Linked DNA regions of Anolis sagrei. The protein of the gene in region 1 interacts with the protein of each later gene in a pairwise test. Links are inferred from orthologs where the notes say so. Each region holds a gene or a part of one and is shown in the gene's direction. Other genes may lie near its edges.

What was found. The genes of interacting proteins can lie anywhere in the genome.
Region 2: the proteins of RBFOX2 (region 1) and QKI interact in binary tests that used the Homo sapiens proteins (3 or more experiments, as listed by UniProt). The link is inferred for Anolis sagrei from reciprocal best matches to the Homo sapiens genes RBFOX2 and QKI.
Region 3: the proteins of RBFOX2 (region 1) and ATXN1L interact in binary tests that used the Homo sapiens proteins (3 or more experiments, as listed by UniProt). The link is inferred for Anolis sagrei from reciprocal best matches to the Homo sapiens genes RBFOX2 and ATXN1L.

The regions. Positions count from the first base shown.
Region 1 is NC_090025.1:166,833,382-166,841,098, forward strand, and holds the start of RBFOX2 (RNA binding protein fox-1 homolog 2), read left to right. Parts: upstream 1-4,668; 5' UTR 4,669-5,056; coding exon 5,057-5,257; intron 5,258-7,717. UniProt on the Homo sapiens protein: RNA-binding protein that regulates alternative splicing events by binding to 5'-UGCAUGU-3' elements. Prevents binding of U2AF2 to the 3'-splice site.
Region 2 is NC_090021.1:66,442,463-66,450,378, reverse strand, and holds the start of QKI (KH domain-containing RNA-binding protein QKI), read left to right. Parts: upstream 1-4,915; 5' UTR 4,916-5,599; coding exon 5,600-5,741; intron 5,742-7,916. UniProt on the Homo sapiens protein: RNA reader protein, which recognizes and binds specific RNAs, thereby regulating RNA metabolic processes, such as pre-mRNA splicing, circular RNA (circRNA) formation, mRNA export, mRNA stability and/or translation.
Region 3 is NC_090028.1:29,558,633-29,566,091, reverse strand, and holds the start of ATXN1L (ataxin-1-like), read left to right. Parts: upstream 1-4,458; 5' UTR 4,459-4,707; intron 4,708-7,459. UniProt on the Homo sapiens protein: Chromatin-binding factor that repress Notch signaling in the absence of Notch intracellular domain by acting as a CBF1 corepressor. Binds to the HEY promoter and might assist, along with NCOR2, RBPJ-mediated repression.

The DNA.
Region 1 (7,717 bases):
AGAGATCCTAGACTAAAGCCACGCAGGGCTTTTAAAGATAACAATCAAATATTTTTACCATTGCCATAAACTAACTTGACAGCCAACATAGTGATTTTAATACGTGTGATCGTGCCTTGATGTGCTCTCTTGTGTGTGGCTGCTTTGGGTCCCATATTAGAAATGCAGCATAAACATTTAAGTAAATAAATACCATGAACAGTGAAGAGACCAAACGCCAGTAGGAAAACTGAATAGAATCTGGGAAAGGATCCCTCCCCCCAAGTTCTGTTCCCGATTCCTCTGCTAATAAGACTAGTGAATCATGCACTAATTAGTGTTGTGTTCTATTGATGGCGTTTAAGTGGCTGATGTTCAATCAGCAGTCATTGGGCAACCAGCCAAATTAATATGGGGGAAGGGAACTGCATGGGATGAAGGACGCTGCAGAGGGTGCCAGTTTGCACCTGTGTTTATTGTCTTTTTGGAAGGGAGGTTGTCCTTCTGGGTATCGCACTGTTCAACATCCTGTCACCACTTAGGTTTATATATTTAGAGATAAAGGAAGATTAGCTTCTGCCAAAGAATGGAGGAGGGTCAGCTGCCAGTCATTAGGCATGAAAAGTCTTGCCTGCCTGACCTTGAAAGCTAAGCAGAGTCAGCCTGGCTTGTAATTGGATGGGAGATCACCAATGAATACCAAGTGATTTCTGCATTCTCTGGGCTTTACATGGATATGTGAAATTACTCAAATGAAGGACTTCTTGCCCAAGAAGTCATGTTGGAGAACATAGAAAATATTGGAGAGGACCTGATTTATCAGATGTGGATAAAAGGAACTATTTATTTATTATTATTTACAGCATTTATATTCCGCCCTTCTCACCCTGCAGGGGACTCAGGGCAGATCACAGTGCACATATACATGGCAAACATTCAATGCCATAGACACACAATATATAGACCAGGTGTCCTCAAACTATGGCTCGGGGGCAGGATACGGCCCTTCAAGGTCATTTACCCGGCCCTCGCTCAGGGTCAATCTAAGTCTGAAATGACTTGAAAGCACACAACAACAACAATCCTATCTCATCAGCCAAAAGCAGGCCCACACTTCACACTGAAATACTAATAAGTTTATATTTGTTTAAATTGTTCTTCATTTTAAGTATTGTATTGTTTCTAAGTGTTTTTTGCACTACAAATAAGATATGTGCAGTGTGCTTAGGAATTCATTCATTTTTTTTTCCAAATTATAATCCGGCCCTCTAACACTTTGAGGGACTGTGACCTGGCCTTCTGTTGAAAAAGTTTGAGGACCCCTGATATAGAGAAACACAGAGGCAATTTAAGCTTCATGAAGATATGCTCGAATTCTGGCCACCGGGGGAGCTGTCACTTTACGGTCCACTTGTAGCACCGAGTCCATGATGGAGTACTTCCTCATTCTTTCGCCCGCTGCTGGAGATTTTTATGGCATCGTAAATTAGTTAAATTAGCCTCCTCGCATAAGCAGTACTTAAATTTCCTACTTAAGAGGTGCAACTGTCTTTCAGGCTGCAAAGGTCAACAGCAAACTAGACAAATGGTCAGGAGCTTACTCCGACCTGGGCTGGCTTTGAACTCATGACCTTTCGGTCAGTGGTGATTTAATGCAGCTGGCTCCTAGCCAACTGCGCCACAACGTAACTCCTAGCCAATTGAGCCACTGCATATAAAACTAGATAAATATTAATCATCTAGATAAAATACAAAAAAATATACAATATACAGTGCACTCTTGGTATCTGCTGGGATTTGGTTCCAGCATTCCCCGCTCCCAATGGATACTGAAATGTGTAGACACTCACGTCCCTTGATATACATACAATGGTGTAGTAAAATGGTGTCCCTATATAAAACGACATCAAAGTCTGCCTTCGGGAATGTTTAAAAATATTTTAAACCTGCCTGTGATTACATTTATGGATGCAGGATCCATGGATACAATGTAAGATGGGTCCTGTTCTGTTCAACATCTTTATTAATGTCTTAGATCAGTAGTTCTCAACCTGGGGTCCCCAGGTGTTTTTGACCTACAACTCCCAGAAATCCAAGCTAGTTTACCAGTTGTTAGGATTCTGGGAGTTGTAGACCAAAAACATCTGGGGACCCCAGGTTGAGAGCCACTGTCTTAGATGAAGGGTCAGAAGGCATGATCATCAAGTTTGCAGATGACACCAAATTGGGAGAGATAGCCAATACCACAGAAGACAGGAGCAGAATTCAAAACGATCTTGACAGATCAGAGAGATGGGCCAAAACTAACAAAATGAAGTTCAACAGGGACAAATGCAAGATACTCCACTTAGGCAGAAAAAAAAATGAAATGCAAAGATACGGAATGGGGAATGCCCGGTTCAACAGGAGTATGTATGAAAAAGATCTTGGAGTCTCGTTGACAAGTTAAACGTGAGCCAGCAATGCCATGCAGCAGCTTAAAAAGCCAATGGGATTTTGGCCTGTATAAATAGAAGTTTAGTGTCTAGATCCAGGTAAGTTATGCTACCGCTCCATTTTGCCTTGGTCAGACCACACCTGGAATCACACTGTGTCCAATTCTTGGCACCGCAATTCAAGAGAGATATTGACAAGCTGGAATGTATCCAGAGGAGGGCGACTAAAATGATAAAAGGCCTGGAGAACAAACCCTATGAGGAGCGGCATAAAGAGCTGGGCATGTTTAGGCTGCAGAAGAGAACGTCAAGAGGAGACATGATGGCCATGTATAAATATATGAGAGGATGTCATAGGGAAGAGGGAGCAAGCTTGTCTTCTGCTACCCTGGAGACGAGGAGGTGGAGCAATGGCTTCAAACGACACAAAAGGAGATTCCACCTGCACATTAGGAAGAACTTCCTGACTGTGAGATTTGTTCAGCAGTGGAACTCTCTGCCCCAGAGTGTGGTGGAGGCTCCTTCTTTGGAGGCTTTTAAACAGAGGCTGGATGGCCATCTGCCAGGGATGCTTTGAATGTGAAGGGGGTGGACTGGCAATCAAAATATATTAAACTATAAAATATTAAAGTGATATTCCAAAAGCTTTTGCAATTGAGATCTAAAAATAACCGGCTGTTAGGAATTGTGGGAGTTGAAGTCCAAAACCCCTGGAGGGCCAAAGTTTGCCTTGTTAGGAATTGTGGGAGTTGAAGCACCACAACTGTTTGGTGTGGCTGAAAGCATTCTGGCAGAAAAAAAAACCATGGTGCCCAATTTAGACACATTGCTGGCACAATGCCTGGCAGCCAGATGACGCGCTTTCCTCCCTTCCCTCCGCCAGACTCAAACTAAGGAGAATAAACATTCCCTCCCTCCGTAGCCCCGCCCCTTCTCTCCTAAACTCTGCCATTCCCGAAGCTTTCCGAGTGAGAGAGTCTCTTTTTCGAGTGCTTTCCGGACATTGCCGAATGTCTTTTTTTTTCCCCCGAGCGCCGTCGGGACTTTCCGCCACAGGCCCCGAGCTGCTTCGGTGCTTCGGCGGGTGTCCTTTTCCCTCTCAGAGAAGCCTGGCTTAATTCTTTCCCTCCTTCGCGCCTGGGCCTCTAGTTCCCTCCCTCCGTGGCCCCGCCCCTTCTAGAGCAGTAGCCCCGCCCCTTCCTCCTCTACTCTCCCATCCCGAAGCTTGCCGAGTGAGAGGGACCCCTTTTTGAGTGCTTTCCGGACATTGCCGAAGGTCTTTTTTCCGAGCACTTTCCGCCACAGGCACCGCCCCTTCTAGGGCAGTAGCCCCGCCCCTATCCCCCGACGCCGCCATCCCGAAGCTTGCCAAGTGTGAGGGTCTCCTTTTTGAGTGCTTTCCGGACATTGCCGAAGGTCTTTTTTTCCGAGCGCCGTCGGCACTTTCCGCCACAGCCCCGAGCTGCTTCGGCGCTTTGGCAGACCTCCTTTTCCCCCTCAAAGAAAAACCTCACTCAGTTCTTTCCCTCAGCGACCTTCTTTCCCTCCCTCCGTAGCCCCGCCCCTTCTAGGGCAGTAGCCCCGCCCCTTTCCCCCCGACTTCGCCATTCCCGAGTGAGAGGGTCTCCTTTTCGAGTGCTTTCCGGAGATTACCGAGGGTCTTTTTTTCCCTCGAGTGCCGTCGGCACATTCCGCCACAGGCCCCGAACTGCTTCGCCACTTCGGCGGGCCACCTTTTCCCCCTCAAAGAAAAACCTCACTCAGTTCTTTCCCTCAGCGACCTTCTTTCCCTCCCTCCGTAGCCCCGCCCCTTCTAGGGCAGTAGCCCCGCCCCTTTCCCCCCGACTTCGCCATTCCCGAGTGAGAGGGTCTCCTTTTCGAGTGCTTTCCGGAGATTACCGAGGGTCTTTTTTTCCCTCGAGTGCCGTCGGCACATTCCGCCACAGGCCCCGAACTGCTTCGCCACTTCGGCGGGCCACCTTTTCCCCCTCAAAGAAAAACCTCACTCAGTTCTTTCCCTCAGCGACCTTCTTTCCCTCCCTCCGTTGCCCCGCCCCTTCTAGGGTAGTAGCCCCGCCCCCTTTCCCCCAACTCCGCCATCCCGAAGCTTTCTGAGAGGCTCTCCTTTTCGAGTGCTTTCCGGAAATTGCCGAGGGTCTTTTTTTTCCCCGAGCGCCGTCGGCACTTTCCGCCACAGGCTCCGAACTGCATCGGCGCTTTGGCGGGCCTCCTTTTCCCCCTCAAAGAGAAACCTCACTCAATTCTTTCCCGCCTGGGCCTTTCGTTCCCTCCCTCCGTAACCCCGCCCCTTGTAGGGCAGTAGCCCCGCCCCTTTCCCCCTGACTCCGCCATTCCCGAGTGAGAGGGTCTCCTTTTCGAGTGCTTTCCGGAGATTGCCGAGGGTCTTTTTTTTTCCCGAGCGCCCTCGGCACTTTCCGGCACAGGCCCCGAACTGCTTCGGCGCTTCGTCGGGTCTCCTTTTTTTCCCCCTAAGAGAGAAAGCAAGAGAGACAAGCCTCACTCAGTGCTTTCCCCTCAGCGAGCGACCTTCCTTCCTCCCTTCCTTCCCGCTTGGGCCTCCACCGGGAGAAGCCTTCCTTCCTCTCCTTGAGGGAAAGCGGGGCGGCCGGGCTCCGGCTCGGATGGCGGAAGGCATCCCGCACCAGCAGCTGGTGCTCGGCGGCGGCGTCCCCTCCTCCTCCTCCTCTTCCTCGGCCGCCCCTCGAGGGCTGAAGCGGGAGCCCGAGCTGGAGCAGCCGATGCCGGGCGGGGAGGGCGCCGAGGGCGGGCAGAGCAAGAGGCTGCGGACCGAGGCGGAGCCCGACGGCGGTGGCGGGATGCAGGTAGGAAACAGAGGCCCAAAAATCCCCTTCTTCTGAGGGAAAACGGATACTGCTATTGCTTCTGCTGTGAGTGGGCCTCAGAGGGCGCGAGGCCCAGCTCTCTCCTTCTGAGGTCTCTCTCTCAGTCTCATTCTGTCTTCACACCCTGGTAACACACCATGCCGCTTTTTTTTCTTTGTAGAAAATGGCGTGTCACCTACGTGTACACCGTCACGTGTGATCTTGGCACCCAGGCACGTCTCCTCATCACCCCTGTGTTGTTGTTTATGGTCGTGAGCTGCTACTTTGAGAGAGACACTGTTAAACAACGCTGTCAGTCTGATCGATGCCCTGAGCTGGACCTACACTGGCCTGCAATGCAGTTTCAGAAGGCATTGAACTGGATTTTGAGAGTCTACACTAGGCATGGGCCAACTTGGGTCCTTCAGGTGTTTTGGACTCCAACTCCCACCATTCCTCACAACCTCAGGCTGGATTTTGAGAGTCTACACTAGGCATGGGCCAACTTGGGTCCTCCATGTGTTTTGGACTCCAACTCCCACCATTCCTCACAGCCTCAGGCCCTTTCCTTTTCCCCCTCGGCCGCTTAAGCGGCCAAGGGGGAAAAGGAAGGTGCCTGAGGCTGTGAGGAATGGTGGGAGTTGGAGTCCAAAACATCTAGAGGGCCCAAGTTGGCCCATGCCTAGTCTACACTGCCGTATCATCACTCCAGTTCATCTGCATTGTGGAACTGCATCACAGGGCTGTGTAGATCGAGCCCTTGCATCTATCTTTATGTGCCTTTGACTCATCTATTGACTCAATGGTGGCAAATAGATCTCATAGTTGTCCACCCCATCCCCCCTACCAGCAGGGAATACTTAGAAGTGATTTTGTAAATTTCTTGACAGATATAATCTACGGCAGTGGTTCCCAACCTGTGGGTCCTGGGATATTTTGGCCTTCAACTCGCAGAAATCCCAACTGCTGGTAAACTGGCTGGGATTTCTGGGAGTTGTAGGCCAAAACATTTGGGGACCCACAGGTTGAGAACCACTGATCTACAGCATTGGTCATCTCTTCATTCATAGAATCATAGAGTTGGAAGAGACATTGTGGGCCGTCCAATCCAACCCTCTGCCAAGAAGCAGGAAAATTTTATTTATTTATTTCAAACATTTATACCCCGTCATTCTCTACTCCCAAGAGGGGAGTCAGGGCAGCTTACAATGACAGCAATCTGATGCCGGCAACATACAAAATATTACAATAAAACCATTAAATAATACATTAAACACATTACAATAAAACAAATAATACATTAAATACATTACAATAAAAACATTAAATAATACATTAAATTAAAAACCATTTAAAGATTATTATTAACCATATAGCCATATCCGAGTTTGATTCAGCGACCAACAGCCCAGTCCAGAGCCTCTCCATAGTCCAGTCTAAAAACATTGTAAAGCAGCATCTGCTTAAAAGTCTCCAAAAAAGGAACCTCCACCACACTCCAGGGCAGAGAGTTCCACTGCTCAACAGCTCTCACAGTTAGGAAGTTCTTCCTAATGTTAGGTTTCCTGTAGTTTGCAGCTGTTGTTCCACGTCCTAGTCTCCAGGGCAGAAGAAAACAAGCCTGCCCCATCCTCCCGATGGCTTCTCCTCACATATTTATACATGGTCCTCATGTTTCTTCACAGTCCCCAAGTTACAAACAACTGCTTTCCAAATGACTCCTAGTTAAGAACAGGGGTGAGACAACAGGAAGTGAGAGAAATCTACCTCTCAAGGGAAATCCACTCCTGGAAGAGTTGTCCTGGGGAAAAGGTGTCACAATTGAAACTTTAGTCCCACTCCTTGTTTCCTTGGGTTTTTTTTTTTCCAAAATTCAATTTTCACAGGGACAGAAAGTGAAGTTAAATCTTTTGAACAGGGGCACACACAGCAAAATAAACACCACAGGCTATCCAAAGCTTGCTTGTGTGTGTATGTATATATGTATTTATATTTATATATTTCTATCTATCTGGAGTTACACTTAAAAATGGACCTGTTCTGACTTACATACAAATTCATCTTAACAAACCTACAGAACCTAGTAGTAGTATCTTTAGGTTTGTAGTACTAATATCTTCTCATTTTAGGAAACTTCTCTACTGCAAAGTAGAGTATTCAAGTATCCTTTAAACAGGTTGAGCATCCATTGTTTGGAATTCCAAAATACCTCAAAGATGTCTCCATGGGTGGCTAAGGTAGTGACACCTTGGCTCTCTGATAGTTCAATGTACACAAGCTTTGTTTTGTACACAAAATCATTAAAAACATTGTGTATAATATTCAGGCTATGTTTATAAAGTGTCTGGGAAATATAGATGAATTCCGCGTTTACGCTTGGGTCTCATCTCCAAGATTATGCAGGTATATGCAAATACATGCAGTTCAAACTCCAAAACCCTCATGGTCCCAAGTATTTCA
Region 2 (7,916 bases), on another chromosome or scaffold:
TATTTCGATGCAGGATTGCAACCCAAATGCACTCAATATGACAGATATTGTTGAAAACACAGTACATTAAAGTAGCATTGTCAATATTCATTTATCAAAAAACAGAGAACCGCAGAAGCAGATAAGAGCTTTGCTCATATTGATGTTAATTTGATTTACTCATCCATTTCAGTAGGTTTGTCAAGTAGGACTCCAGCCTGAGAGCTTTCCCCATGAGTAGGGACCCCTGAAAGCACAACGGGCTCCTGATCAAATGGGTCTGCAAAATCTTATCAAGCAAAGAGGTCCTTTCCCCCAAAACGAGTACTTGAGCCTAGCCTTTGTGAGAGACTTAGAGAAGTTCTGAAGGGTAAAAGAAAAAGAAAAAAAAAGGAATAGTGTGTGCAGGCGGCTGCGAAACAATTTCTAACAAGGGGAGTAAACTGAATATGAAGTGCCCTCCCTCAAACAACACATGGCCAAGACAGTCGGAGGCACCGTGGGAAGCAAAATCTGGGTAGAGATAACACATTTCCACAATGACGGGAAAAGGAAATGAGTCGGGCCAGCCAAGTGCAATCCGCTTCGCATGTTTCTGCAGCGACCAAGCATCCCCCTCTGACAAAACAAAACAAAAAAAAAAGGCAAAGAAAGGCGGAACAGATTTTCTGTTTTTCCTAGCTCAGATATAGTGCAAACAAGAGCATATTTGAAAGTGAACCCCCGGCACTGATGCTGTCGCTGGGCTTTTAAGCGCCGGAAAGAAAGACAAAGGAAGAATTCAAGGGGGAGGGAGAGAGAGAGAGAGAAGGATGCAGGCAGAGATGAAGAAAGGAGGGATGGGGGCTAAAACGAGCAAAAGCAGCACAACAGTCCTAGGATCCTGACAGTTTGAGGATCAGCTCATTGTGATAATGTGTGTGTATAAAGGGAAAGGTTTCCCCTTGACATTAAGTCTAGTCGAGTTCGACTATGGGGATGGTGCTCATCTCCATTTCTAAGCCAAAGAGCTGGCGTTATCCATAGACATCTCCAAGGTCATGTGGCCGGCATGACTACATGGAGCGCCATTACCTATCCGCCAAAGCAGTACTTACTGATCTACTCAAATTTGCATGTTTTCGAACTGCTAGGTTGGTAGAAGCTGGAGCTAACAGCAGGAGCTCATCCCACTCCCAGGATTCTAGCCACCAACCTTTCGGACAGCAAATTTAGCAGTTTAACCCACTGCGCCACTGGAGGTTCCATATTATATATATATATCACCAGATAGAAGATGATGTGGCAAGAGAGGGGCGACCTGCTGGGATCCCGGGGCTGGATCTACACCACCATATAATGCAGTTTCATTGAACTAGATTATACTGGAGTATAGATTCATACAATACCATTGAATGGATTTAATCTGCTTTCTGAATCTACATTATATGGCAGTGTAGATCCAGCCCTGAGGCTGCACTGCAGGATTAACACACTTTGACCCCACTTTATTTGCCATGGCTCAATATGGGGGCAGAAGAATTGTAGTTTTCTGAGGCACAAGCACTCTAGCAGAGAAGGCTAAAACTGCAACTCCCATGACTCTTTCAAAGTTCAAGGGGCATTGAATCGCATTAATTCTACAGCAAAGATACATGCTAAGCACCCTAAAACAGGCATGGCCAAACTTGGGCCCTCCTTCCAGGAGTTTTGAACCCCCGCCATTCCTAATAGTTGCAAGCCCTTCCCTTTTCCTCCTCAGCCGCTTAAGCAGCTCAGGAGGGAAAGGAAAGGGCCTGAGGCTGTTATGAATGGTGGAAGTTCAAGACCCAAACACCTGGAGGGCCCAAGTTTGCCTATGCCTGCCGTAAAGGCACCAGATAGAAGAGGATGTGGCCTTGGGAGTTAAGCAAAATCAACCCTGGCTCATACTTGGATGGAAGGCCACCAGCAAATACTATGTTTGAGAGAGCAAGAGACTGGGAAAGCAACCCCGGGTCCTTCATGCTTGACACCCCTCTGAAGTATGTGGTCTCCCTAAGTGGTCCTCAGATGTTTTGGCCTTCAACTCCCAGAAATCCTAACAGCTGGTAAACTGGCTGGGATTTCTTGACGTTGTAAGCCAAAACATCTGAGGACCTACAGGTTGAGAACCACTGCCCTAAGTGGATGAGACTTGAAGGCGCGCACACAGGGTGCATCTACACTGCAGAGTGAGTACAATCTGACACCATGTATTGTGGAAGGCTTTCATGGCCAGAATCACTGTGAGTTGTTGTGAGTTTTCTGGGCTGTATGGCCATGTTCCAGAAGCATTATTTCCTGATGTTTTTCCCACATTTATGGCAGGTATCCTCAGAGGTTATGACGGATGTTGGGAACTTCGCAAGTGGGGTTTATATATCTGTGGAATGTCCAGGGTGGTCCATGCTCTTGTTACATCCCAGATAGATTACTGCAATGCACTCTATGTGGGGTTGCCTTTGAAGACTGTTCGGAAACTTCAATTAGTCCAGCAGGAGGCAGCCAGATTGCTCACTGGAGCATCATACAGGGAGCATACCACCCCCCTGTTGTGTCAGCTCCACTGGCTGCCGATCCAGTTCCGAGCACAATTCAAAGTGCTGGTTTTGACCTACAAAACCCTATACAGTTCCGGCCCAGCGTATCTGTCCGAACGCATCTCCCTCTATGTCCCACCTCGGAGTTTGAGATCCTCTGGGGAGGCCCTGTTCTCAGCTCCGCCTGTCACAAGTGAGATTGGCGGGGACGAGGAGCAGGGTCTTCTCAGTGGTGGCCCCTCACTTATGGAATTCACTCCCCGAGGAAATTAGATCAGCGACATCCCTCCTTTCCTTTAGAAAGAAATTAAAAACATGGATGTGGGACCAGGCGTTTGGGCACTCTGGCAGATAAATAAAGGACTGCGACGGCGGATAGGAACAGACAATGTGGAACGAAGTATGGAATCTGAGTTGGTTGAGATTGGCTATTGACTGTGACATATATTGTTGTTTTAATTGTTTAACCGTTTAACTGCTGTTTTTATACGTTTATTGTATTATTGTGTAGGCATCAAATTGTGCCTGTTTGTAAGCCGCCCTGAGTCCCCCGAAATAAATAAATAAATATTTAAGGACAACCTGTGAGGATACCTGCCATAGATGCAGGCGAAAGGTCAGGAGAGAATGCTTCTGGAACATGGCCACATAGCCAGAAAAATACACAATAACCCAACTTGATACCACTTTAAACTGCCGGGGTTCACTGCTATGGAATCGTGGGAGTTGTAGTTCGGTGAGGCGCCGACACTGTTTGGCGGGGCCAAGGCCTTGCCAAAACTACAACCCTCCACGATCCCATGGCGGTAAAGTGGTGTCAAAGTGCACTCATTCCACAGTGCAGAATCAGGCTTCGTGTGAACGAAGGCATAAATCTGGCTCCTGGTTTCTACATCTGCCTGCCCTGATGCGCTTGTGTCGTAGGAGGGAACCACAAGGAGTTGAGGAATCCCCTTTACTCCCGAGGAAGTTCCGTTCGATGTATTCGGCGGGGTTGACTCCAGAATGGCAGCCGAAGCCTCCTCCTCGCCTTGCCAGCCGCGGCTTTCCTCGCCCTCCCTTCCTCCTCAGAGCGTTAAGCAAACGGAAGGGAAGAGAGAGCGGGCCTGGGTCGAGTGGTGAGGCGAGGAAGGGAGCCCAAGAAGGGGAAACGCGTGGCGGGCGGCGGTACTTGTCGGGGCTTCCCCTCAGAAGCGGAAGGGAAGACCGAAGGCGAGGCGAGAGCACCTTCCTTCCTTCCAGGAACAGAACCGACTGACTCCTCCGCCAGGCAAACCCCCCTCCCCCCCTCTTGAACGTGCCTTTCTCCCTACCTACTGCGCAGGCGCTCGTGCGCGAGCTTCGGCCCCGCCCCTCCCATTCCTTTCCTCCGACACCTCCAAGAGGAGGAAGGGCGCGAGACCGTTGGAGGCGCGCGGGCGGGCAGGCAAGCAGGCAGGCGCGCGCCCCCCGTCTAAAAAAAAAAAGCCAAGCCAACAGACTTTATTGAGCGCATGCGCTTTAATAGTAAAAAAACCAAAAACGATCTACGATTAGGACTCTTTCCTTTTTCCTCCCTCCTCCCTTTTTTTTCAGGAGCTTGGCAACACGTGACGCGGTCCCGCCTTAAACGCAAGATTGGTTGAAGTTTTTTTGTGTGTATGTGTGTTAACGGAGGAGTTTCTAAATAAATAAATAAAAATGGGGAAGGGAGGGAGGCACGCGCGAGGACGTTGCGGGGGGGGGGAGATAGAGGAACGTGGTGGTGGGGGGGAAATGTTCATTCCTTCGCGCGCCCTCGCGCAGGCGCGTATCAACAGGCGCCGTCTCGCGCGTCGTAGCGAGTAGTACTATATCCGAGGTATAGCGGCACGAGCCCTTTTTTTTTCTTTTTTCAAACCAACGTTCTTTTCGGATATGTGTGCGCGCGCCCGCCCATCCGGCTCCTTAACACCCACCACAAGCGTAGATAGATATATATGTGAAAAAAGGAAATTTCTGTGTGCTGTCCTGGTGCGCGTGCGCGGAGAAGAACCACCGCCGCCGTCGCCACCACCACCTTCTTGTCGTGGTTCTCCTCACAAGTGAAGCGCTTTCCCGTTCTCGGCGGCGCCAGAGAGAGCCCCCAAGTCTTTTTCCTTCCCCCCCCCCCGTAGGGGCGGGGCGGAGTCGAGGGCTCCGAGTCCGCCAAGGGCCGCCGCCAAGGGCTGATTAACGGCCGCCCCGCCCCTGCTCCTCGGCGGCGCTCCCCCCCCTCCTCCTCCTCCTTTTCCTCCTCCCCTCGCCGCCAGCAGCGCAGCCTGAACTGAAGCGAACTCCACAGCGAACTGAAGGAGGAGGAGGAGGAACAAGACGAAGAAGGAGGCGGCGGCGGCAGTGGCAGTGGTCGGAAAGGCTGAGGCTCGCCAGCGACCAGCAAACGGCACCAGCGGAGGGGAGGAGGAGGGAGGGAGGGGAAGAGGGGAAGAGGGGAGGAGGGAGGGGAGGGAGGGAAGGCAGGCAGGCAGGCAGGCGGCGGCACAAGCAGAACCACACCAGCAGCAACAGCGGCGGAAGAAGGAGCAGCAGCGGCAGCAGCAGCGCCGGTGGCCGGGAGCAGCCTTACAAACAGCCTTACAAACAGCGGCGGGGACTCTTCGCGAAGACAAGCCCGCCTCCGCCGCCGAGGAGGAGGAAGAGGAGGAGCGGGCGCCTCGGCTGCTGCGAGTGAGGCGGGCAAGCGGCACGACACCGAGGAGGAAAGGCTTCCAAGGCGGGAGCGGCGGCCGGGGATCCTTATCCAAGCGGAGGAGGAGGCGGAGGCGGCGGCAGCAGGCTTGGGTGGCGGTCGCCCAGCCCCCTCCGCGGTGTCGCCGTTTGTGTCGGAGTCGCCTCCTTGTTCTGGTTCTTCCTCGCCGGGAGCAGCAGCAGGAGCAGCCGCCGCCGCCGCCGTGCTTTCCCTGGCCGCGGGTCCCTCCTCCTCCTCCTCCTCCCCTTCCCTCCTTCCCCCCTCCTCCTCCTCCCGCCTCCTTTTTCTTCCAGGGGGGAAGAGGCCTCTCCCGCCTGGCGAGTGCGAGTGTGGCTTGCGGGCGCCCGGCTCGCTCTCCGGCCGCGCTGGGAATATGGTGGGGGAAATGGAAACCAAGGAGAAGCCCAAGCCCAGCCCCGATTACCTGATGCAGCTCATGAACGACAAGAAGCTCATGAGCAGCCTCCCCAACTTCTGCGGGATATTCAACCACCTCGAGAGGCTGCTGGACGAAGGTAAAAACAAACAACAACCGCCACAATAATAATCATAATAATCATAATACACGAATTTAAACCACGCTCTTTTCTTTATTTTGGATCAAAACAAAACTTAGGCCTTGAGGATACACGGTGAAAAAAAATGTGTCTCCTCTTTTTGGCCCCTTCAATGGCGTCCTCTTTGCTCTCTTTCTTTTTTGGCCTTGCCTCCTTCCCCGTAAACAAAGAGACGAAGCGGGAAGTCTCTCTCTCTCTCGGCGAGAAGTTTTGGCCTTTGAGGGAGGGAGTGAAGGCGAGGCTTTCTTCGGCCCTTCGGCGCGGTTCTCTTGTTTTAAAGACTTAAGGTAGCCCTTTTTATAAAAAGGCCGAGGGGAGAGATAGTTTGGGGAGAGTTTTGAGACTCCACATAGGACGCAACTAAGTAGTAGTAGTAGTAGTAGGCCGAGTGGCGTGATTTACAGCAGTGTTGGTTAAGCGAGTGAGTTTTGCAACGTCCAGAAAGGGATCTCGGGGTGTCCTTTGTTTGTTTGGTTTCAGATTGGCTTGGAAGGGAGAAAAAGGGGGTGGCAGGAAGTGGAAAGGGCTCGGCTCTCGTCCCTACCGGGCAGTTTGGACTAAAAAGTGGTTGAAGTTTTTGAGAGTAAACAGACCCAACTTCTCCATTCGGTTTTTACACTGAAGCCTCTTCACTCGAAAGTTCTCGATTTCTGGTGCCAAAAAGCTAACGCAGAAAGGTTGCTGAATCCTCACTGCTCATCCCAAGCCAACTATCCGATTCCCCACCGCCTGCCTCCCACCCTGTGGAGTTAGTTGCAAGAGGCCACTTTTGTGGAGTACTACTAACAAGCTTCAGGAGTTTTTTATGTTTAAATAGGTTGGACATGGAAGCTCCAGACTTCATGGTGATTATGTTCTCTTGGACCAGGTTGAGTTTTAAGTCTTCAATCCAAATCGTTTTTTGGGAATTCAGACCTCAGTTTGAGGGCGTTGTGGCTGAACTTATCATGTAGACGTGGGAGGTTGTGCACATTGAGTTTTGGTCTTACCATGTAGATGTGGGTGGTTGTGTACATTCAGTTTTGATCCTAGTCTGAGTATTTAGATTTTTTTTTTTGGAAGAGAGTAATTCTATACAGAATTCTTCATAGACTTGACTGATCCCATGACATATTTCCGCTGAAAACATATTTACCAAATAGTTGTGAGGTGCCCCTTGACTGATTTTTTTTCCAGACCACATTCTGTTTGGATAACACTGACTAGTTGGGATCTCTTTGAAAGAACTCTTTTGAATACTTTCTGAATTACAAAATAAGCAATACAACATAATTTTTATCGATTAAACACAGGCATGAACAATGAATTTTTGAAGTTCCTGAACAATTGGTTTGATTTGGGAAAGAAGACTGACCAACTTTGTCAAGATCAAAAGAGTGGTGTGTTTATTGTACCAAAGGGCTATTTTAAATGGAATGTGTGAGGTCATTGTTCCTTTAAAATGCCCCTGAAGCTCTGAAAGTCTTTGAATGAACAGGCCTTGTATTATTTTCAAAAGTCCAAAACAAAGATTGGAAGTTAATCTAGCAAAACAGTTATATCTGGTTTTGTTCCATCCTTATTTTTTTTCTTCCACTCTTCTTTTCTTGGTAGCCTGAAGGGAAAGTTCAACTGCCCCTTTAAATCTTTTTTGCTTTTCCTGTTTATTTTGGCTCCTGGGTGGAAGAACTGCATATGCTGAAAACTTTCTGGAATGTTGAAAAAATGTTCCATGCAAATTCAGTGGATGAGGTAAATGTTTTAATATTTGAACACTAAGGGGCGCCAGTTCTTTCTTTTTGGAAAACAGTTGTAACAGTGTAGGGATTGCATTGTGAGCCTTTAAGCCAAAACCAAGAAATATGCCAAAACTTTTAAAGAGCTAGGACTTAATGAGTTTAAGGGCTAAAGTTATATATTCACAAATATTTGTGATTATAGGAATTGGTGTAATTCTCCATTCCCAAATCATGGGCAGGATTAGTCATTTTCTATTACAAAGAACTGACAATCTATGAAGTGACATATTGTTTTTGTTTTTTTGTTTTTTACTAGTAGTAGTTTGGGCAGAAGAAAGATCATTTTTTGGCCAATTGGCGTTGGAGGTCTTACTTAAAAGTTGTTTTTAATTTTTTAAAAACATCCTGGAAATTT
Region 3 (7,459 bases), on another chromosome or scaffold:
GGACAAACGTTTTGCAGCTTCAATGGTGCTTGAGTCAGGCATATGTTGCGAAAGAGAACAATAACGGAACAGTCAGACTCCAGGGAGAGCCAGAGCAGGGGAAACCCACTGGGGGACCTTGAGCGAGTGACACCCTCTCAGTCTCAGAGGAAGGCAAAGACAATCCCTTCTCCCTCCAAAAGAACTTGAAGACCCACAACAAGCTACAGGTCTCTGCAATTCCATCTGGAAGCTTCCAAGGGTCCCCGTGTTATATGACTCTGAAAGAAGCTAGGGCTGTTGATGTCAGCTTCTGGAAATTGCACCTGGCTTGGTTTTGCTGGGAGCCTTTAACAAGTTCATTTTTTAAGCCAGCTTCACCATCCGGTCAGCAGCACAGGGACAAGCCTCTTTTGCCAATGGCCCAAGGAAGACCACTGCCTGCACTGTTGTTATTATTGTGGTTATCAGTATTATATCCAGCTTTCCCGTTTTAAGGGAGACTTATAGCGGCTATCAATGCTAAACACAACGTACAACTGAAACACGAAATTAACATGAAACATAGAGCTGCTAAAAATAAATAGGCAACACGATTCAAGCAATTACAACCTACTGATATACAGGCAGTCCAGAAGTTACTCCAGCCACACACACACACCTATTTATAATTTTAGAAGAAGAAGATCCCACCTCACTTTCTATCCCTGTGATCATTGGATTTTGAAAAAAAAAAAAAAAGGTTGCTTGTGGAATCAAGGATTGGAGACAAAGTTTCAGTGGAGCCCCCTTTTCCCCCTTATAATAACTCTACCAGGAGCAAATTTCCCTTCCTTCTGAGGGGGAAGATTCCTCTCACTTCCTGTTGTCTCTGCCTCATTTTTAACTAAAAGTTGTTTGTAAATTGGATGTTTATAACTTAGGGAATACCTGTATATGTGTGTGCATATATACATATATATCAGCAATGGACAAACTTCGGCCCTCCAGGTGTTATGGATGTTTGTAACTCAGGGACTACCTGTATGTGTGTGTGTGTACAGACATGGGTAAACTTTGGCTCTCTGGGTGTTTTGGACTTCAACTCCCACAATTCCTGACAGTGGCTGTTAGGAATTGTGGGAGTTGAAGTCCAAAACACCTGGAGGGCCAAAGTTTACCCATGCCTGACACACACACATATACATGGGAGATAGATACAGTATCACAATTTTGGAAGGGACACCAAAGGCCATCCAGTCTGACAATGACTCTTCCGAGAGTGGATTTCCCTTCCTTCCGAGAGGAAGATTCCTCTCACTTCCTGTTGTCTCAGCCCCGTTTTTAACTAGGAGTCATTTGTAAGTCAGATGTTTTAAACTCAGGGACTACCTGTAGGTGCATGTGTGTGATACACACATATGACAGATAGAACTAGTATCATAAATTTGGAAGGGACCCCTAAAGGCCACCCAGTCTTTCCCCCTGACGATGAATCTTCCGAGAGTGGATTTCCCTTCCTTCCGAGAGGAAGATTCCTCTCACTTCCTGTTGTCTCAGCCAGGTTTTTTTAACTAGGAGTCATTAGTAAGCCAGATGTTTGTAACTCAGGGACTACCATATGACAGATAGAACTAGTATCATAAATTTGGAAGGGACCTCCAAAGACCACCCAGTCTTTCCCCCTGATGATGACTCTTCCAGGAGAGGATTTTCCTTCCTTCCGAGAGGAAGATTCCTCTCACTTCCTGTTGTCTCAGCCTCGTTTTTAACTAGGAGTCATTTGTAAGTCAGATGTTTTAAACTCAGGGACTACCTGTAGGTGCATGTGTGTGATTTATGATAGAACTAGTATCATAAATTTAGAAGGGATCCCCAAAGACCACCCAGTATTTCCCCCTGATGATGACTCTTCCGAGAGTGGATTTCCCTTTCTTCCAATGGAAAGATTGCTCTCACATCTTGTTGTCTCAGTCGCGTTTTTAACGAGGAGTCATTTGTAAGTCGGATGTTTGTAACTCAGGGACTACCATATGACAGATAGAACTAGTACCATAAATTTGGAAGGGACCCCCAAAGGCCACCCAGTCTTTCCCCCTGACTCTTCCAAGAGTAAATTTCCCTTCTTTCCGAGGGGAAGATTGCTCTTGTTGTCTCAGCCAGGCTTTTAACTAGGAGTTATTTGTAAGTCGGATGTTTGCAACTCAGGGATTACCATATGACAGATAGAACTAGTATCATAAATTTGGAAGGGGCCCCCAAAGGCCACCCAGTCTTTCCCCCTGACAATGACTCTTCCGAGAGTGGATTTCCCTTCCTTCCGAGGGGAAGATTCCTCTCACTTCCTGTTGTCTCAGCCCTGTTTTGAACTAGGAGTCATTTGTAAGTCAGATGTTTGTAACTCAGGGACTACCATATGACAGATAGAACTAGTATCATAAATTTGGAAGGGACCCCCAGAGACCACCCAGTCTTTCCCCCTGACAATAACTCTTCCGGGAGTGGATTTCCCTTCCTTCCGAGGGGAAGATTGCTCTCACTTCTTGTTGTCTCAGCCAGGTTTTTAACTAGCAGTCATTTGTAAGTCAGATGTTTGCAACTCAGGGACTACCATATGACAGATAGAACTAGTATCATAAATTTGGAAGGGACCCCCAAAGACCACCCAGTCTTTCCCCCTGATGATGACTCTTCCGAGAGTGGATTTCCCTTCCGATTCCTCTCACTTCCTGTTGTCTCAGCCAGGTTTTTAACCAGGAGTCATTTAAGTCAGATGTTTGTAACTCAGGGATTACCATATGACAGATAGAACTAGTATCATAAATTTGGAAGGGACCCCCAAAGACCACCCAGTCTTCCCCCTGATGATGACTCTTCCGGGAGTGTATTTCCCTTCCTTCCGAGGGGAAGATTCCTCTCACTTCTTGTTGTCTCAGCCAGGTTTTTAACTAGGAGTCATTTGTAAGTCGGATGTTTGCAACTCTAGGACTACCATATGACAGATAGAACTAGTATCATAAATTTGGAAGGGACTCCCAAAGTCTTTCCCCCTGATGATTACTCTTCCGAGAGTGGATTTCCCTTCCTTCCGATTCCTCTCACTTCCTGTTGTCTCATCCAGATTTTTAACCAGGAGTCATTTAAGTCAGATGTTTGTAACTCAGGGACTACCATATGACAGATAGAACTAGTATTCTAAATTTGGAAGGGACCCCCAAAGACCACCCAGTCTTTCCCCCTGACAATGACTCTTCCGGGAGTGGATTTCCCTTCCTTCCGATTCCTCTCACTTCCTGTTGTCTCGGCCAGGTTTTTAACTAGGAGTCATTCGTGAGTCGGATGTTTGCAACTCTGGGACTACCATATGACAGATAGAACTAGTATCATAAATTTGGAAGGAACCCCCAAAGGCCACCCAGTCTTTCCCCCTGATGATGACTCTTCCGGGAGTGGATTTCCCTTCCTTCTGAGGGGAAGATTCCTTTTACTTCCTGTTGTCTCAGCCAGGTTTTGAACTAGGAGTCATTTGCAACTCTGGGACTACTATATGACAGATAGAACTAATATAATGGAGTGGGTTCCTCCCACTTCCTGTTGTCTGAGCTTCGTTTGACCTAGGACACGTTTGTAAGTCAGGTGTTTGCAACCCGGGGACGGCTTGTATATAAAAAATGACCAGGATTGGCTTTGACAGCTTTCTGCCTTCAAGAGGAAGGCCTTCTCAGCCAGGAGGGCGCGAGGGAGGGAAGACAGTGGAGGGGAGAAGAGTTCCCTGCAGCAAGGGACCTGACGGTGAGGCCCAACTCCGACCCGGCCAGGCAGGGCCGGGCAGGGCCCAGTGTTCCCCTCCCTCCCTTCCTTCCTTCCTGGCGGGTCCTCCCCTTCCTGCCTCCTCCGGGCCCCGGCTCCCTCCCCGGCTCCCTCGCTCACTCACCGGGCCGGGTCCCGGCGGCAAAGGCGGCGGCGGCAGCGGCGGTAGAACCAGCAGCCTGGCATCCAAAATGGCGGCGGCGCGGCCTCAGCACCGCTCCCGCAGGCGGAAGGATACCGTGCCGGATCTCACTCAGGCTCTCTCTCTACCTCTCTCTGGCCCGTCTTTCCTTCTTTCCTTACTCGTTCCCCTTCCGGAGAAGCCCCGCCGCGGCCTCCCTTCCTCCCCTTCCCTGACTAATAAGCGAGGCGTCCTCTAGCAGCAGATTACCGAGGGACTATTTCCCTCCGCGGAGGCATCCGGGGTGAAGGGTGAGAGGCCGTGCGTGGCAGGCACTGATGACGTCACGCGCTTGCCGAGTCACCGCTGCGCCTCTCCCTCCTTCCCTCTCTCCCTCCGCCCGTCAGTTCCTCCGAGAACGGCTTTGTGTCCCAAGGAGAAGGGCTCGGGGCCTCTTCTCAGGTCAAGGGGCGGAGCTGGAGTTCTTTGGTTCCCTCCTCGGCTCCCTCCCTCCCTCGCCATCGCTCCTATTGGGGCGGGGACGGCTTCCTCCGCCGTCGCCTTGGCAACCACCGACGCGTCATCACTAAAGGCCTGGCTATGCTCTCTTTCTCTACCCCGCGCGCTCTTGCGACGTCACGCCCGCGGCACTTCCGGCGCGCCGAGGAGAGGCCGAGGGCGGGCCCAGGCCCAAGAGGAGGAGGAGGAGGAGGCGGCGGGATGGAGGAGCCTGGCCGCGGTGGGGCCGAGCCAAGCGGGGGAGAAGGAGACGGAGGAGGCGGCGGCTCCGGGGGCGGACAAGAAGAGGAGGAAGGCGGGTGAGAGAGGGAGAAGGAGAGGGGAGGTCTGGGAGGGGAAAAAACCCCAGAAAATTGAGGGATTTGTTTTCGTTTACTTCCAAATAATAATAACAACAACTTTACTCTAGTCCTGTTCCGCCCTCAAATCTGCACATACCCACTTTTCTGGAAATAGGAAAATGGGTTTATATATCTGTGGAATGGCTGGGGTGGGGCAAAGAGCTCTTCTCTGCTAGGGCTAGGTGTGAATGTTTCAGCTGACCACCTTCATTAGCATTTGAAGGCCTGGCTGAGCCTGGGAAAACCTTTTGTTGAGAGGTGCTAAGATGTGCCTGGTTGTTTCCTCTCTGCTGTTTTGCTGTTGTAATTTTAGAGTTTTTTTAATACTGGTAACCAGATTTTGTTCATTTTCATGGTCTCCCTTTCTGTTGAAATTGATCACATGCTTGTGGATTTCAATGGCTTCTCTGTGTAGTCTGACATGGTGATTGTTGGTGTGGTCCAGCATTTCTGTGTACTCAAATAATATGCTGTGTCCAGGCTGGTTCATCAGGTGCTCTGCTATGGCTGACTTCTCTGGTTGAAGTAGTCTGCAGTGCCTTTCATGTTCCTTGATTTGTGTTTGGGCGCTGTGTTTGGTGCGTTTGTCCTAATTCCAACAGACCTCACTACCTCTGAGGATGCTTGCCATAAATGCAGGCGAAACGTCTAGAACATGGCCCTATAGCCCGAAAAACCCCACAAGAACCTAATAACTTTACTCTAGTTCTCTTCCGCCCTCAAATCTGCACATACCCACTTTTCTCCGCTATTGATTGTTTGTTGTTTGGTTATTATAATAATACAGTCCAGTCTCTGGGTTGTTCTAGGTTTTTTGGCTGTATGGCCATGTTCCAGAAGCATTTTTATTAATTATTATTATTAAACTTTATTTGTACCCCGCTAGCATCTCCCGAAGGACTCGATGCGGCTTACAAAGGCCAAGGCCTCAACATAACAACAACAGACAATAACGATGCAAGCAAATTAAAACATAAGCAATAACACAACAAAACATTACACTATTATACAATAAAATCAGGGCCAGGCCAATGAAGGGTTCAGGTTAAAAAAGGTGCTGGATGTGAGAGGTGGTATGTTGGAGTTCTGGGCAAGTGCAATGTGCAGAGAGTATTAAACTCTAGTAAAGTGCTTCTGGGACAAGGTGCTGGAGGTTATCCTATTCTGGAAAGGCACATCGGAATAGCCAGGTCTTCAAGTTCTTCCTAAAGACTGCCAACGTGGGTGCAAGTCTAATGTCTTTGGGGAGGGTGTTCCAAAGTCGGGGGGCAACCACAGAGAAGGCCTTGTCCCTCGACCCCACCAAACGCGCCTGCGACGCAGGTGGGATCGCGAGCAGGGCCTCTCCGGATGAACGAAGTGAGCGTGTGGGTTTGTAAGCGGAGATGCGGTCACGCAGGTAGGCGGGTCTCCTGACGTTTCGCCTGCATCTATGACAGCCATCCTCAGAGGAGCCCCCGGTGGCGCAGTGGGTTAAACCACAGGTCGCAGGTTCGAATCCAGAGAGAACGTGGATGAGCTCTCTCTATCAGCTCCAGCTCCTCATGCGAGAAGCCTCCCACAAGGATGGTAAAAAAAATCAAAACATCCAGGTGTCCCCTGGGCAATGTCCTTGTAAATGGTCAATTCTCTCACACCAGAAGCAACTTGCAGTTTCTCAAGTCACTTCTTACATGATAAAAAAAAATCCTCAGAGGTTGAGGGGTCTGTTGGAAACTAGGAAAAGTGTGTTTCTAAATCTGTGACACAGATAAGGAACTCCCAGTGGCACAGTGGGTTAAAGCGCTGAGCTTGTTGACCGAAAGGTTGCAGGATCGAATCCGGGGATTCGACAGCTTCTGCTGTCAGCCCCAGCTTCTGCCAACCTAACAGTTTGAAAACATGCAAATGTGAGGTGATCAATAGGTACCACTACAGCAGGAAGGTAACGGTGCTCCTTGCAGTCATGCCAGCCACATGACCTTGGAGGTGTCTACAGACAACGCCAGCCTTTCGACTTAGAAATGGAGATGGCCACCAACCCCCAGAGTCGGACACGCCTGGACTTACTGTCAAGAGAAAACCTTTACCTTTACTATATCTGTGATATTGAAACCCCAACCTTTCCAACTGGAATAGAAATAAACTTTGGTGGCCTTTCTTCAACCTGGTGAGAATTATTTGGGGAAAGGGAAAATCTTACTGGCTTTAATAGCTCACCAGGCATTTTGCGAATCCTCAGGACCCCTTGAAAGGATAGCAGTCTCAGACTCAGCAGCCTTCCCAAGGGGGATTTTTCTGCCTTCCGCTGGTCCCTGCTTGCTGCAGGACTCCCAATTTCTGCTCAGTTGGAGCCCCCAGTGGTGCAGTGGGTGTTAATGTTTCAATTGGCTACCTTGATTAGCATTTAATGGCCTAGTGGTTTTCAAGGTCTGGCTTCTTACTGCCTGGGGGAATCCTTTGTTGAGAGGCAATTAGTGTCCCTGATTGTTTCTTTTTTATTTTTGTTCTTTATTTACTATCCTGATTTTTTAAATACTGGTAGCCAGATTTTGTTCATTTTTATGGTTCCTCCTTTCTGTTGAAATTGATCACATGCTTGTGGATTTCAGTGGCTTCTCTGTGTAACTTGACATGGTAGTTGTTAAAGTGCTCAGCATTTCTGTGTTCTCAAATAATATACTATGTCCAGGTTGATTCATTAGGTGCTCTGCTATAGCTGACTTCTCTG